Linked DNA regions of Caenorhabditis elegans. The protein of the gene in region 1 interacts with the protein of each later gene in a pairwise test. Each region holds a gene or a part of one and is shown in the gene's direction. Other genes may lie near its edges.

What was found. Proteins that work in one complex are often made in the same cells at the same time.
Region 2: the proteins of sdz-12 (region 1) and hat-1 interact in a two-hybrid assay, tested with the Caenorhabditis elegans proteins (one large-scale study listed by BioGRID).
Region 3: the proteins of sdz-12 (region 1) and Y57A10B.6 interact in a two-hybrid assay, tested with the Caenorhabditis elegans proteins (one large-scale study listed by BioGRID).

Annotation. Positions count from the first base shown.
Region 1 is NC_003280.10:3,729,614-3,733,709, reverse strand, and holds sdz-12 (Zinc finger protein sdz-12), read left to right. Parts: upstream 1-1,886; 5' UTR 1,887-2,161; coding exon 2,162-2,278; intron 2,279-2,401; coding exon 2,402-2,458; intron 2,459-2,522; coding exon 2,523-2,663; intron 2,664-2,719; coding exon 2,720-2,938; intron 2,939-2,981; coding exon 2,982-3,161; intron 3,162-3,228; coding exon 3,229-3,327; intron 3,328-3,378; coding exon 3,379-3,558; downstream 3,559-4,096. Other genes in the region: bath-31 (BTB domain-containing protein), read right to left, coding at 633-752, 795-946, 991-1,526, 1,572-1,684. UniProt on the Caenorhabditis elegans protein: Together with ehn-3, may play a role in gonadogenesis.
Region 2 is NC_003281.10:10,404,694-10,408,906, reverse strand, and holds hat-1 (Histone acetyltransferase type B catalytic subunit), read left to right. Parts: upstream 1-1,658; 5' UTR 1,659-1,665; coding exon 1,666-1,747; intron 1,748-1,792; coding exon 1,793-2,213; intron 2,214-2,260; coding exon 2,261-2,320; intron 2,321-2,399; coding exon 2,400-3,072; 3' UTR 3,073-3,659; downstream 3,660-4,213. Other genes in the region: M03C11.3 (PH domain-containing protein), read right to left, coding at 310-545, 620-644; ATP-dependent DNA helicase chl-1, read left to right, coding at 3,671-4,008, 4,070-4,172.
Region 3 is NC_003280.10:12,388,127-12,393,216, forward strand, and holds Y57A10B.6 (SEC-C motif-containing protein), read left to right. Parts: upstream 1-1,956; 5' UTR 1,957-2,029; coding exon 2,030-2,095; intron 2,096-2,792; coding exon 2,793-3,383; intron 3,384-3,945; coding exon 3,946-4,245; intron 4,246-4,295; coding exon 4,296-4,451; 3' UTR 4,452-4,536; downstream 4,537-5,090. Other genes in the region: sre-41 (Serpentine Receptor, class E (Epsilon)), read left to right, coding at 167-642, 824-1,106, 1,334-1,467, 1,524-1,713; Y57A10B.7 (Gag protease polyprotein), read right to left, coding at 4,626-4,841, 4,901-5,090.

The DNA of each region.
Region 1 (4,096 bases):
CTACATTTACAATGATTATCCCCACTCTAGCCCAGAGCTACTAATGCCTAATTCAGCCGAGGAATCTGATGTTCATGGCATGCGTGCCTATCGAATTAAAAACATTCATGGAACTTTTTCTATTTGGAGGTTCTGATTTCTTTATTCCATCGTTTTTTCTAATCAACACTACTTCTATTTACGACGACGACGACGAGTTACTGTCAAACACCGTCCGACGATTGAAATCTTCAATTTTTTCCAGTTTTTGAGATTTTTTTCGAGTCTTTCGAATTAAGCTTATTTTCGAAACCTCTAACTTCTTATTTTTCTATGTTTTTGAACTTCACTTTTCAAAACTATATTTTTAAACTCCACAAAATATAACTATGTATATGTCTTATCAAAATACTTTATGAAATGCTAGATAAAAGTTTCTTGAATTCTTGACTTGACTTTTTCTGGTTTGGTCTGGTTCATGATTTGAATTTCTTCTGTAAGTCTTCAAATTTTCTCATCAATATAATATAAAGAAAACGTAAATTTATTTTTTGTACTGGCAAATAAAACTTTACAATTGAAAACAGAGAAAAAATAGTGGCCAAAAATCAGTTATTAGAAAAATGCAATTCATATTTGAAAACGAACAATTTTTAAACTTCAAGAACTCGCTTCAAGACCCGCTTCATCAGGAATGGGCTCATTTCATCAATGTTTCCAGCGATAATTGAGCGGACATCTTGGATGGTTTTGATGGTGTTGCAGCAGTGAATCTGGAAGATAAAATAAGGTTATATTCAGGTGCACGCACTTACCTCTAGTTTCTCCAACTTGTATCTAATTGCCAATTCCAATTTCTTTTTCCCGGACTTCTCGGACTCCTTGTAAAGAAATTTCTCGCATTTCCCAATAACCGCTCTAGAATCGTACATGTCAGCAAGTTGAAGGATTCCTTCGACGGTATTGTCTGAAATTTTTAAATTATTACCAATGTGAGCACTAAAAACTAACCATCAATCGAGTCCTCCAAATAGAGAACTTCCAAAAATGCCTGGAAGGCTTCCGGGTCTATCCCAGAGAGGGTAACCTCTGATTTCTTCGACTCGCCGAAACTGCCAAAGAACAAGGATTTGAAGTAGGAGCACTGCAGAGCGAGATGCTTTCTCAGAACATGAAATCTCTGCTCATCCACTACCAAAACCACATCGGACAGCTCTCCCATAGACTCATTGTCGAACTTCAAAACCGGATCTCTTCCCTTGAACCCAGAAGCGTTCAATATTTGAACATGAACTTTAAAGTGTAGCGCATCTTCAATCACAAAGTTTTTTGCGACTTTCTCCCAATCGGCAAACTGCTTCCATCCCCATGAGTTTTCCTTCGGCTTCTCACTATTGAAATTTACAGTGGCTGTTTTGCAGTGGGGAGATTCATTGGGAGATCTAAGCTTCACTTCAACATTCGCCTGAACTGACCAAATTGTGCCAAGTTGGTCGCAACTAAGATACACCTCAAGTTGATCAGTTCTTCGATTGACATGGAGTTTCCTGGAAATATAAAAATTTAAATAAAAAAAGGAAAGTTAAAAATACCATGGAATATAGTAATATTCTTTAACCTCGCTGCAATAAGTGGTATCCGGCTTGAAGTTGGAGATTGCTTTAATAGTGTAAGTTGACACAAATTCCTTTGTTATAACGAGCATGTCTACTAACCTACTAAATTGCAGAAAAATGACGAATAGGAAGACTTGTAGAGGCAGATTATGAGTGAATAACGCTAGGAGATAATCTTAGTGGATCGATAAAATAATGCATAATGCAGCGTCTCGTTTCCCGGCAAATTTGGCACAGTTGGCAGCTGGTCTTCCAAAAATGTTGTGAATTTTGTTAAAGATTACAATATTCCCCCCAAAGAAGGTGCATCGTCAATGGAGAAATTACTGAAAAAACTGAGATACTGAAAAACTCAATCAGCTCTACAATGTGCAATTACACACATTTCATAAATTCGTCGGCCCCGCTTCTCCAAAAGCCCCAACGTCATATGTGACGCAACTTCTCACAGCTTTCGAGGACACAGTCTTTGAACTTATGTACCTCTTTTTGCAACTACGCAAAAACATTTCTCACTCCCCTTCCTCCCTGCCCTCGGACAATCCGCAGAGATTTCTTCTGTGAAAATGAGTTTGTCATCACTAGACGCCGTATTGTCGCTTATTGCAACCTCTTCCACTTTGGATCAGGATTCTGCTAAGGTGCCCCAGTGTCAAGTTTGCAAAAGAAAGTTCGCGAATCAGGTTAGTTTTTGAAGTGAGCAAAAAAGTGTTGTTAATTTATCTTAATTTTACAAAATTTACTGTACAGCAGATAATCTTCCTTTTTTTGCTAGTTAGTATATAGAGCTCACTACCATTTTTCAGAAAACGCTGAGAACGCACATGAAGCACATTACGTGTAGGCCTGGACGTTCCAATGTGGTGAGTTTTTGAGAAAATGTTTAAGCCACTGAGCTTCTCCTCCTCCAACTATACGTTTTTTCAGGTCAATCACAAATTCAGATGTGAAAATTGTGAGAAACAATTCACCAACAAGCCAAACTTGAAGCGTCATCAAATAACTCACTCTGGTTCAAAATCCAAGAAGTGCAGCACTTGCCAGAGAACATTCTTCAGGGAAGATCAGGCAAGCAGATTTTATTCCATTTTTCCTGTTCAATTCCAGCAATTTGTAATTTTCAGCTTCAAAGGCACCTGCACAACCATCTCAAGGAAAGATCACATTTCGACTGTCCCGTGTTGAACTGTTCAATGCAGTTCGTATTCTATGAGGGCGTTGAAAATCATCTCGTAAACCATCACCACTTTTCATACAGCGAATCGGCTCCGTGTGGAAAATGCCACAAGTTATTCGGGAGTCCTAGGCATCTCCTGGTACACTACCATTTTGATCATAAAGAGGTGAAAAGCTTTATAATTCTTTAAGACTTAACAATCCTTTCAGGCTCTGCGCTCTTCGGCTCCTGCTCCCACAAGCTCCGCCAGACTGTCACCTATCACCGTATCAACTTCAGGAAGTCCCAGAGCTCAGTTGGCAATCTCGCCACAAGAGAAGCCGCCTCAAAAATTGAGCATAAATCTAGGAACTTCCCCGATGATCGAAGAATTCTGTGAACAGAACTCGGTATGTTTTCATTTTCAATATTGGTTTTGGTGCCGTTCTTTGAAACCATTAGACTTGAAATTTTCAGGCAACTCTTCCAAACACTGATCAACAGCTCTCACCAACTCTAAGCCCCAATGAGCCAAGGTTTAGAAATCTAATTACCAGTGAGCCAACCCCAAGCTTTGTAAGTTCTTAAGTTTCAAAGTACACTTTCATCAACTCAAAAGCTCTTCAGGAATGCAAGCACTGCACGATCAAGTTCCACGATGCCACAATGAGCATCATGCATAACGCCCTTCACGCGCCAGGAAGCCCATTCAAATGTGCAATTTGTGGAGCAGAATGTGGAAATAAGATCGTGTTCACCATGCACATCATCACTGCGAGTCATGATTTTGGTGGCATAGGAACTTAATTGATAAGATTCTACTGCTTAATTAATATTTTTTCTTGTTAAAAGTACTCAATGAATCTCGTTCTCGCCCTTGAAGGAAACTGATAATTGTTGATAACTACGGTAACCTACAGTACCCTATTCTATCGTGATCACTGATTTTATGGAGTAATCAAACAATTAGTTGGTCTTCAGAATACAGGACTGGTAGATCAAACTACGCATAGTTTCTTTTTCTATCTACATCTTCTTCACTCTCCTTCCCATTTGCTCTCTGCCAATACCGCGCGCCAAATCGATAATTGCGCCCCACCAAAACACTCTGCGCGGGTTCATTTATTCCTTCACCTCTACTCTCTTATCAATGGACCTGCCTGAAGCTCAAGCTCTTGTGCCAGTTTATTCTCAGGTACTGTAAAATTTTCACAAATTAATTAATAAAGGATCCATTTTTTTTCAGGAATTGCGCAAGGTGCAACAGTTCAAGTAATTACATTCTCAGAAATCTCTGAGCAATCACATACGGAACACCAAATGTGGACTTGGGCTGTCTTCTTAC
Region 2 (4,213 bases), on another chromosome or scaffold:
TAAAAATCTATTTAATGGAAAAATTAGTTTCAAAACATGTTTCTAATATATTTTTTCGACTAAATTAAATTAAAATCATGTTTTGATACATTTTATCGAGAAATTAGGTTAAAATCATTTTTAAAATTCTTTTTTTTTGACAAAATTGGTTGGAAATCATGTTTTTAGATTTTTTGGACAAAATTAGATTAAAACCTTTTTTAATCCATTTTTTCAACAAAACTAACTTAAAATTTAATTTTTATTTTATTTCTCCACAAAATCAGTTAGAAATCCAGTTTCTAGGGTTAAAAAACGCCAATTTTTTACCTCAATCTCTCGTTCATCGTCATTTGTATCACGTTGCTCAACAAATTGCGATAATCCTCCTCCATTTGAAGAAGAAGACGACGCATCGAACAATGAACGATCATGTTCCATACCAGGGAACGAGTGATGTGAGGCAGGAATTGTGCCACCTATTATCACCATACAATCCGATGGGATACTTCTGCTGATGTTGCTCGTATTTGAAAACGTTGTTGGTCCGAGGTTTTCCTTCAATTCTGATATGGATTAGAGGACATTTCACATGGAAAATCCGTGAAATTTCAGAAATTTTCAGTGGAATTTAATTTACCTGTTCTTGTCGAACGCTCATGCATTATTTGATGGTCTTCCCATCAACTTGTTGCTTGGAATCTTCTGAAAATTCGATTTTTTAAAAATGATTTTTGACAATTTTGAGCGGATTTGTGAGAGAAAATTCGATTGAAAAAAAATATTTTTACATTAAAACCGTTGAAAAAACCAATTCTTTTTGATATTTTTCAAAAAATTCCAATGAAATTTGGTTGTTTTCAACAAAAATATAACGGAAAAATGGTAAAATAGCAAAACTTTTATATAAATAGGAAAAATTTATAAATTTTGCGATGAAAAATCTCACAACGAGTTTTAAAAAACTTAATTTCTGATTTTAACAAAGTTTTAATTGAACAAAACAACAAAAATTCTCGAAAATCCGCCGAACTATGGAAATTAACTCTTTTTTATCTAATTATCGTGAGAAAACCGCGAAACCCGGGCAATTAGAGCAAAATAATGCGGTTTTGCGCCATTTTTCACAATAAAAATGAGACATTTTACGGGGAAAACGCTTGAAATTCGATATTTTTGTTTGTTTATAATTTTTATGATGCAACTAAACTTCACGAATCAACTTGATCAATCAATTTATCCGTTTTGGGATGAAAATTCCGGGAGATAAGCGAAAAATTTCTGAAAAATCGATAAAAATTCACCCGGAGGCGTGAAAAACAGCACGGATCCATCAGAAGATCCCTGGCAACGTGCCAACTCGCACGGCGTATTTCGAAAAAAGCGCGACGAGAGAGTGTGTGGCCGTGAGAGACGCGCGACACTCAGACAGTCGGAGAGAACGCCATCTCTTATGAGAGGTTGCGAAAGTCAACGGGTCTCGCCGCGAAGAGACACTTTTGTGTCGATTTACGAAGTGAGAAAGCCCGCGGGAAACTTTTTTAAATTTTATTCTTTTATTTTCGTCGGAATTCCTTCATTTTTTCTCATTTTCCACGCAAAATCGGTAAATAAATTGATTAAATATCGTCTTGTTTCGCGATTTTCAAGGTTCAATGGCGTTTTCAACTCTTTAACAGTTTCAGCATGGTTATGGAGGACGTCACGAATGTCAATCGCAATCGGAGATACATTTCCGACGGACTTGCTGTCGTTAAAATGACATTTTGTAAGAGTTTAACCGAATTTTCGCTTGAAAGTTCCCATTTTTCAGTAAAAAACATGCAAGAAATCAGTACTGCGCCACGCTACGAACCAGAGATGGTCTATCAGCATTTCGGAGATGAGGAGACAATCTTCGGCTACGAAGATCTCGAGGTTACCATCCATCACACAGCTCAAACCCTCTACAGCTACATAAACGTGAGCTATTCCTCAAAAGCGAAAAACGAAAACGGACTGGAGGCCGATGACGTCATTGATAAGCTGGTTCATCCAGACGTTCGTCCGAATGTTCTGGTTTCGGGAAAAGAAGAATTCCAGCAGAAGCTCATCAAACAGAAGGATTTCAAGCCTTTCGGTGAGATGGTACACAAGTTTGAGCTGAAAGGAAAGAGCTACGAGGTCTACAAAGTCGCCGAGCAAACCGAAGAGTTCAACCTTTTCCTAGAAAGAATCCAGACTCTCGGCATGTTGTGAGTGCTTAAAAAATAAGGATTTTCCTACAAAATTTTTTTTTCAGCTTCATCGAGTGCTGCTCACTGACAGATAACACTGAAGACAATTGGCTTCACTATTTTATGTAAGTTGAGAAGATTTCGCGGCGAATTCCAGAAATTACAAAAAATCGAACGCATTTCAAATATTTTTCAATTTTCCAGCTACGAACGCTGCGACACCGGTGAAGGAGATGGAAGTACTGTGGCCAACGTGGCTGGCTACGCGACACTCTTCAAATTCTACAACTACATTGACAGGATCCGTCCACGAATTGCACAGATGCTATTGCTCCCTCAATACAGAAAATCTGGAATTGGAGCCAGTTTCATGGAATCTTTCCTGCGAGATCTTCGTGCCTCTCCAGAAGTTTTCGACGTAACCGTCGAGTCTCCCGGAGATCAGTTCGTCAGCCTCCGTGACTATGTGGATTGTGTCAACTGCATGACACTGCGGGAATTTGCACCGGAGAATCTCAAGAGGGGATACTCGGACAAAATGCGTCAGGCCGCACTGGAAAAGCTCAAGATTTCCAGACAACAAGCCCGTCGAGTCTATGAAATTTTGCGTTATCGTGCTACAAATAAGAAGGATAAAGAAGAGCTGAAAGCGCAGAGAATCGATGTGAAACGTCGGTTGTATGCACCAATGAAGAAATCGGATCAGGACTGGAAGCGTCTGAATCTCGCGTTGACACCCGATGAGCTTCGACAAGCGGCCTGTGGACAAATGGATGAGGAAACCAAGTTCTCGACGCTCTCACAGAATTATGATCGGCTTATGGAGGCCTATCAAAAAACTATTGATCGAATTGAGCAGCATCCAAGCATTTTTTAATCGTTGTATCTGTATCTTATTTTAATTTGAAATTACATGTGGGATTTTTGTATTTTTTTTAAAGCTAATTACCACGAAATTCGTCTAAATTTGCTGTAAATTTGCAAAATTCCCTTGCCGTTATTACCCATACGCGAAATTTTGCGCCAAAAGTACGGTATCCGGTCTCGAAGAGAAAAATGTATGATAAATGCGAAAAAGTGTGCGCCTTTAACGATTTTTATCAGGTTTTCATAGTTTTTCCCAGCATTTGTTAAAGTTTTTTTGGGTTTTGATTGTGATCTACGAAAAATCGACGAAAATCCGCAATAGCAAAAGTTTGAAGCTACAGTACTCTTTAAAGGCGCACAAATTTTCGCGTTTAACAAACATGTTTCGTTGCGAGACCAGGCACCGTATTTTTGGCGTGAAAATCGCTTTGGGTCCTATTTGACTTATTGTGAATGTTTCATGAATTTTTCCGCTCTCTAAACTCTCAGCTAAAAATCGAATTCCCAGTTGAAAATCCCGAATATATTTTTATCTTCTTATATATTATTCTTCAATTACAAAAAAAAAACTCACCGAAATAAATGATCTCTCACTCTATCCCAGCAGAATGGACGAATTCTCATTTCCATTTCAACCATACGACATTCAACTCAATTTGATGCGAGAAATCCGCCAATGCATTGAACAACGGAAAATTGGCATTTTCGAATCTCCAACAGGCACCGGAAAGTCGCTCAGCGTGTTGTGCTCGACGATGACGTGGCTGGAAGCTGAAGAACTACGAATTTCGACTGATTTGAGCACACGGCTCGGGGAGGTTCACACGAAAATCACGGAATGCGATAAAATCACCACCGCCGACAATTGGGAGACGGCAGTTCGTGAGAAAATGCGAGCTCAAGACGTAGAGACGGAGATTTTGGAGCAAATTCAGAGTCGGGAAAGGTGTTGGAAATTGAATAATTATTCTTTTTTAATTTTTTTTTAAATGAAAAAAATCATTCAGATTGCAGTCACGAATCGATCAAGCCCGGCGAGGAATGGTCGAGGTCTCCAGAAAGAGAAAAGCCCCGGCCAGGGATACGGATCAGTTTCTCGAACCTCAAGATGTAATAATTGAACTTTTATCCGGAAATTCACATGTGGCTGA
Region 3 (5,090 bases), 8.7 Mb from region 1:
AATATTTCTAGTCTCATTAGGAAATTCATTTTTCATTTTTAAAAAAATTGCTGACGCATTTCTCAAGCACAAACATCTGCTTGCAAGTTTCACTCATTTCTTTTTTCGTTTGCTTCAAGCTCATCACTCTTCACAATTTTTTGTTATTTTTCAGAGAACATATAATATGATCATAGCATTTTTAAACTCTACAGAAACTCTATGGATTCCAGTTTTCTCTTTAAACGACAGAGTTTACGAGTCCCCAATTTACCCTTTTTTCGCAGCAATCCAAATTCTCATTTACTGCTCCACGGCATATATTATTGTAAGAACTTGCAAAATCATCACAAAAATTCGACTTTTCCACGAGAACAAGAACATTTTAATGGCGTTCTTTTTGTGCCAATGGTTTGAGGCGATTCTCGCCAAAATTCTTATACTTCCCTATCAAATTGGCTTAATTCAAATCGGAAATTCACCCGGAAAATCATATTTTTCCTGGTGGAGCAGCGGACGAAATGATATGGTTTTGGTGGAGAGCACTGATGATATAAGGGTATTGTACATAGCATGCTATGTTTACAGACATTATATGTTTTCCATGTTTTTTGGAATTATGGCTATTGGTGTGGAAAGAGCATGTGCGACGTTTTATATTCAGTGAGTTTTTTGAAAATTCAAATTTGAAAATTAGTCTTAAAATCTTAATCTCTGAAAAAAATTAGACCAAATTTAATTTTTTTGATGAAATAAATTTTAAGTTATGCTCCAAAGTATTTTAACATTTTAAAATTTCCAATTTGGCGCCAGATACAGGAACGTTCAATTGTATATTTTCCAGCGACTACGAGCACGTACGCCGTCGCCATATCCCAGTAATCCTTATCATACTAGTTAATATTATTACAATTCCATATGTCTATTTTGTGATCCATAACCGGATACCATTCCTCGTAGTTTATGGTCAATGGGCGGTTTGCATTGTGTTATCCACGTCAGCCTACGCTACAATTCTTCGAATCAATTTCGTGTTCCGAAATCAGATGCGGAAGAATATAACCGACCATGAAAAATATTCATTGGCGAGAAAGTTTCAAGTTGAGGAGAATATTCGAAGCTTGAAGGTGAGGAAAAGTTAGGCCAGCGAAAGCAAGACCGAGGATGTTGTCTAGCAAAAGTTAGGCCATCAATTGTGTACCCAAAGTCCTAGAAAAGTCAAAAATTCATAAAGTCATGCTATTTTTGTCTCGGCCAAATTTTTAACTTTACAAAAGTTAGGCCATCCCATCAGCTTTCGTTTAGAAAAACCTTGGCCAGCGAAAAGTTAGGCCAACGAACTTCTCTCTTCCAGCTCGCCAAGTACACAGTTCTCGTGGGCTCCGTGCACATTTCCCTAACTCTCCTCGTGTTCACCTGCCTCATGCTCGGATTCTTCGAAAGACTTCAAGTGTTCTTCGTTCACATACTAGAGAATCTCATCTTATTGTGAGTCGATTCACCATAATTTTTCAACAAAATTAATTAAAAAAAAAAAATTTCAGACCAGCCTTAGTAATGGCAGTTGCTCTTTTATGTTGCTCGGTGGCTTGGCGACACGAGTTCATGCAAAAGTTGCCGGTATTGGGGAAACATATTAGTGGGACATCGAGAATTGGGATTTCGGAGTCTAGGAGATCAGTTGTTTTGGAATCTGAAGTGTATTTCCAGCAATTGAGAAGCTCGTGGAACTGAAATTTGTTGTCATAGCTGAGGTTTTATAATTGTGTTTTTTTTGGAATTGTTTAAAAATTTTTAGGCTCCGAAAAAATATTTTTCATAAATTTTTGAAATATTCCCTCCTGTTTTTTCTCCGTCCATCTGCCAAGTTAGCACCCCCAACAGCCATAAAATGTACTTACCCGCAACTTGGTACATACCCTCTTCCCGCCTGCGCTTGTAAAAAACTGGGTGGAGTCTCTCTCAATGTACCAAGTTAGTCTCAATGGCGTGTATTCGGTGTAATTCCTCTATTTTTCTGTCTCACTCTCTGCAATCTTCTCGGTGGAAAATGAACGACACAGAATATACGGCTCATATTCTCGCGAGAACCATCAGGACTGGAGACGATAAATTGGTAAGTTTTAAAAAAAAAAAATTTAAAATTAATCTTTCATACAACTGGTTGGTGTTTGGAAAATAGAAAAAAAACAAGTTTTTGGCGAATTTTTGAACTGAAAATTTTATTTAAAAAAAATTAAGCTTTGAATTTTTTAGTCTTGGAATAAAAAGATTCTCAATGCTTCAATGAACAACTTTTTTTTTTGAAATTTTTTGAATGCAATTTGAAAAAGTTACAAAGAAAAGTTGTTCAAAAAAACATTGCCATGTGTGGAATTTTTTTTTGCAAGCCACCTAAAATTTAAAAAAATCTACAAATTTTCAAAGCTTTTATATGTATTTTTTAATTAGAAACGTTTATTAAAAAACTCAAAATATTGATGTTTGGAAAAATAAATTTAAAAAAAAACATTTTAAAAACTGAAATTGTAAGGAAAGTATTTTTTAGAATTTTTTGGGCGGATTTTTGAATTCAACCAAGAACTCATTTTTTGAACGAACATTCATTTGAAATTTGACATGATATTTTGTGGGTTAAAAATTGTTTTTTTCACTCAACTATTGAAACCTCAAAGTTCAAAAGTTAAGTGAAAATCTGGAAAAAGTTTGAAAAAGTTTCTAGAAAACCAGATTTTTTGCAAGCAGCGTGAATTTTTTAAAATGAAATTCAGAAAATCGTCCCATAATTTCCTTAATCGTCCCATAATTTCCAGATAACCAAAGCCTTCTCACAGCTGAAATTTGGCACTGTACCTATGGATATCCTGGAGCAACACAACTTCCCATACATTGTGCAGCGACATGCTCCAAACAACCAGCTAGCACTCTCCATGGCCTCCAACTATCAAAACTTTAAACTCCAAAAAATCGAACACGAAAAGCCTTGGATGTTGAAACGGTTTGCTGACAGTACTTTCGAGGAGTACCCCGACGGAATAGTCTCGGTGCACACGCTGAAGCTGCTCACCGCCGTCTCCTTCTTCACCGACCTGGACTTTGTGAAATGCTCATTTTCCATTCTGAGCAGGCTTGACCTGTTGGTTGAGGATTTTGAGAAGTATGGAATTCTGGAAAGAGCCAAAGTTTTTGAGCATCAAATTCAAGAAGCCGCATGGCTGGTGCGAAAATATCAACGTCTGAAAGATGAGGTAGAGTCTGAAGTCGAGGAGGAATCGGAGGAGACTGAAGTTGCTCCAAGTTTGGACAGAAGGTATCCACCTATACACGGAGATTTTACACATAATAGGATGGAAATCGAGATGATATTTTTGGCTCAGTGCATTAAAGCAGGAAATGAGGAAATGGTAGGGGTTTTTGATAGATATTTTTTTTCAGAACCTTCAGAGATTTTTCAAAAACTATTGAAGACTTCTCGCCGAAATTCTACAAAAAATTGGCGATTAACTGAAATTTTAATAATTATGAAATTTGGGCCCACTTCAGTTTGAAGGTATTGAAGCTTAAAAAAATTTAGGCTCAGGTTAAGGATTAGACTTAGGCTTAGGCTTTGGCTTAAGCTTGAGCTTAGGCTTAAGCTTGAGCTTAGGCTTAGGCTTAACCTTACAAATGTTAGGTTTAGTCTTATGTGTAGGCTTAAAATAAGGCTTAGAATAAGGCTTATGATGTGGCTTCTGATTAAACGTATGATTAGGCTTATGCGTAGGCTTGGGCTAAGGCTTAGGGCCTGTCTTAGACTTAGCGTAGGTTTCCGCTTAGGCTTAAGCATAGGCTTACGATTAGTCATATGCTTAAGCTTAGGTTTAGGGCTTCGGCTTAATTAATCCATAATTAAGAAAATCCGAGAATATACTTTTAAAACTCCAAAACCTCCGTCAACTTCTCCAAAAAACATTGAAAAATTTCCAGATATCCACCGCCATAGAATTTGTCGGTACAGACGAGCTGCCGCTGGAATTCTACCGAAAATACGACATTGCTCTTTCGTGTCACCTCTACTGCCCAGAACAGGAAGATTGCAAGCACCTGATCGACTTTATCGAAGAGATGGAAGAAGTCGGTATGCAATGGGAGAATTTGGAAGCTCTGGAAAGATACTTACGCGAGAACTCGGAGCTCGGGCTTGTGCCCGATAGTGTGATGACGCTTTTGATGGGATATTTCAAAGGTGATAGGTACTTGGGTGATGAGGATTGGAAGGACTATTTTGTAAGTTTTGGAAGCTTGCAAAATGTTTAAATAAAGCTTTTTGTCTTCAGGTCGACCCAATTTGCAACTTCTTCCTGTCACAGGACGTCTCGCTGGATCAATTCGAACGATTCGATGTGAAGAATATTCTTGTCAAATTTGAAGAACGAGCAACTAAACCTGTGAAGCTTGTGCTGCAGAAGATTGAAGATCTCAAGTCCGCTTAATCGAAAATAATTTATTTGAACCTGTTTTTCCAAAGTTTTTGGTTTTAATATCATTAAATGAAATGTGTTTTACTCCTGAATTTCTAATTTCTGAAAAAAGAACAAAACAATTAAAATAAAATATAATAGTTCTGAAAAAAAAATCAGAAAATCTTTATCATGCTCATAATCAAATCAATATCCAAAAAGACGTTTAAACGATTCGAACATTTTCTGGCCCGACGGAACTTGCTGGTTTTTGGTGATTTTCAACGGAATCCCGTGGTCCTTCATTTCCAAATCAGGCAGGATGAAGCCAACAAGCCCGGCTTGATTGTTGAGATTGTCATCGACTTTTTCCGCGTGAATTTTCCGGACCAGGCTGATTTTTGCACGTGGACTATCGTTTTCCTGAAAATTTGAAATATGAGTTTGAAACATTTGAAAAATTTGCAATGAATTTTCGCGACCTCTCTAGCCTTGACAACTTTCAGCTCCACATCCATTCTTCCACTGGACACTATGAGCTTCTCGATATCCGCCACCATTTCCTCCAGAAACTTCTGCTCCACCTCGAACCGCTTGGAAAATTCCACTTTCTTGCTTTGGGTCGAGCTTTGTGGCGGGTGATGCATTGCCTGGCAGAAGTCGAAATCCGAA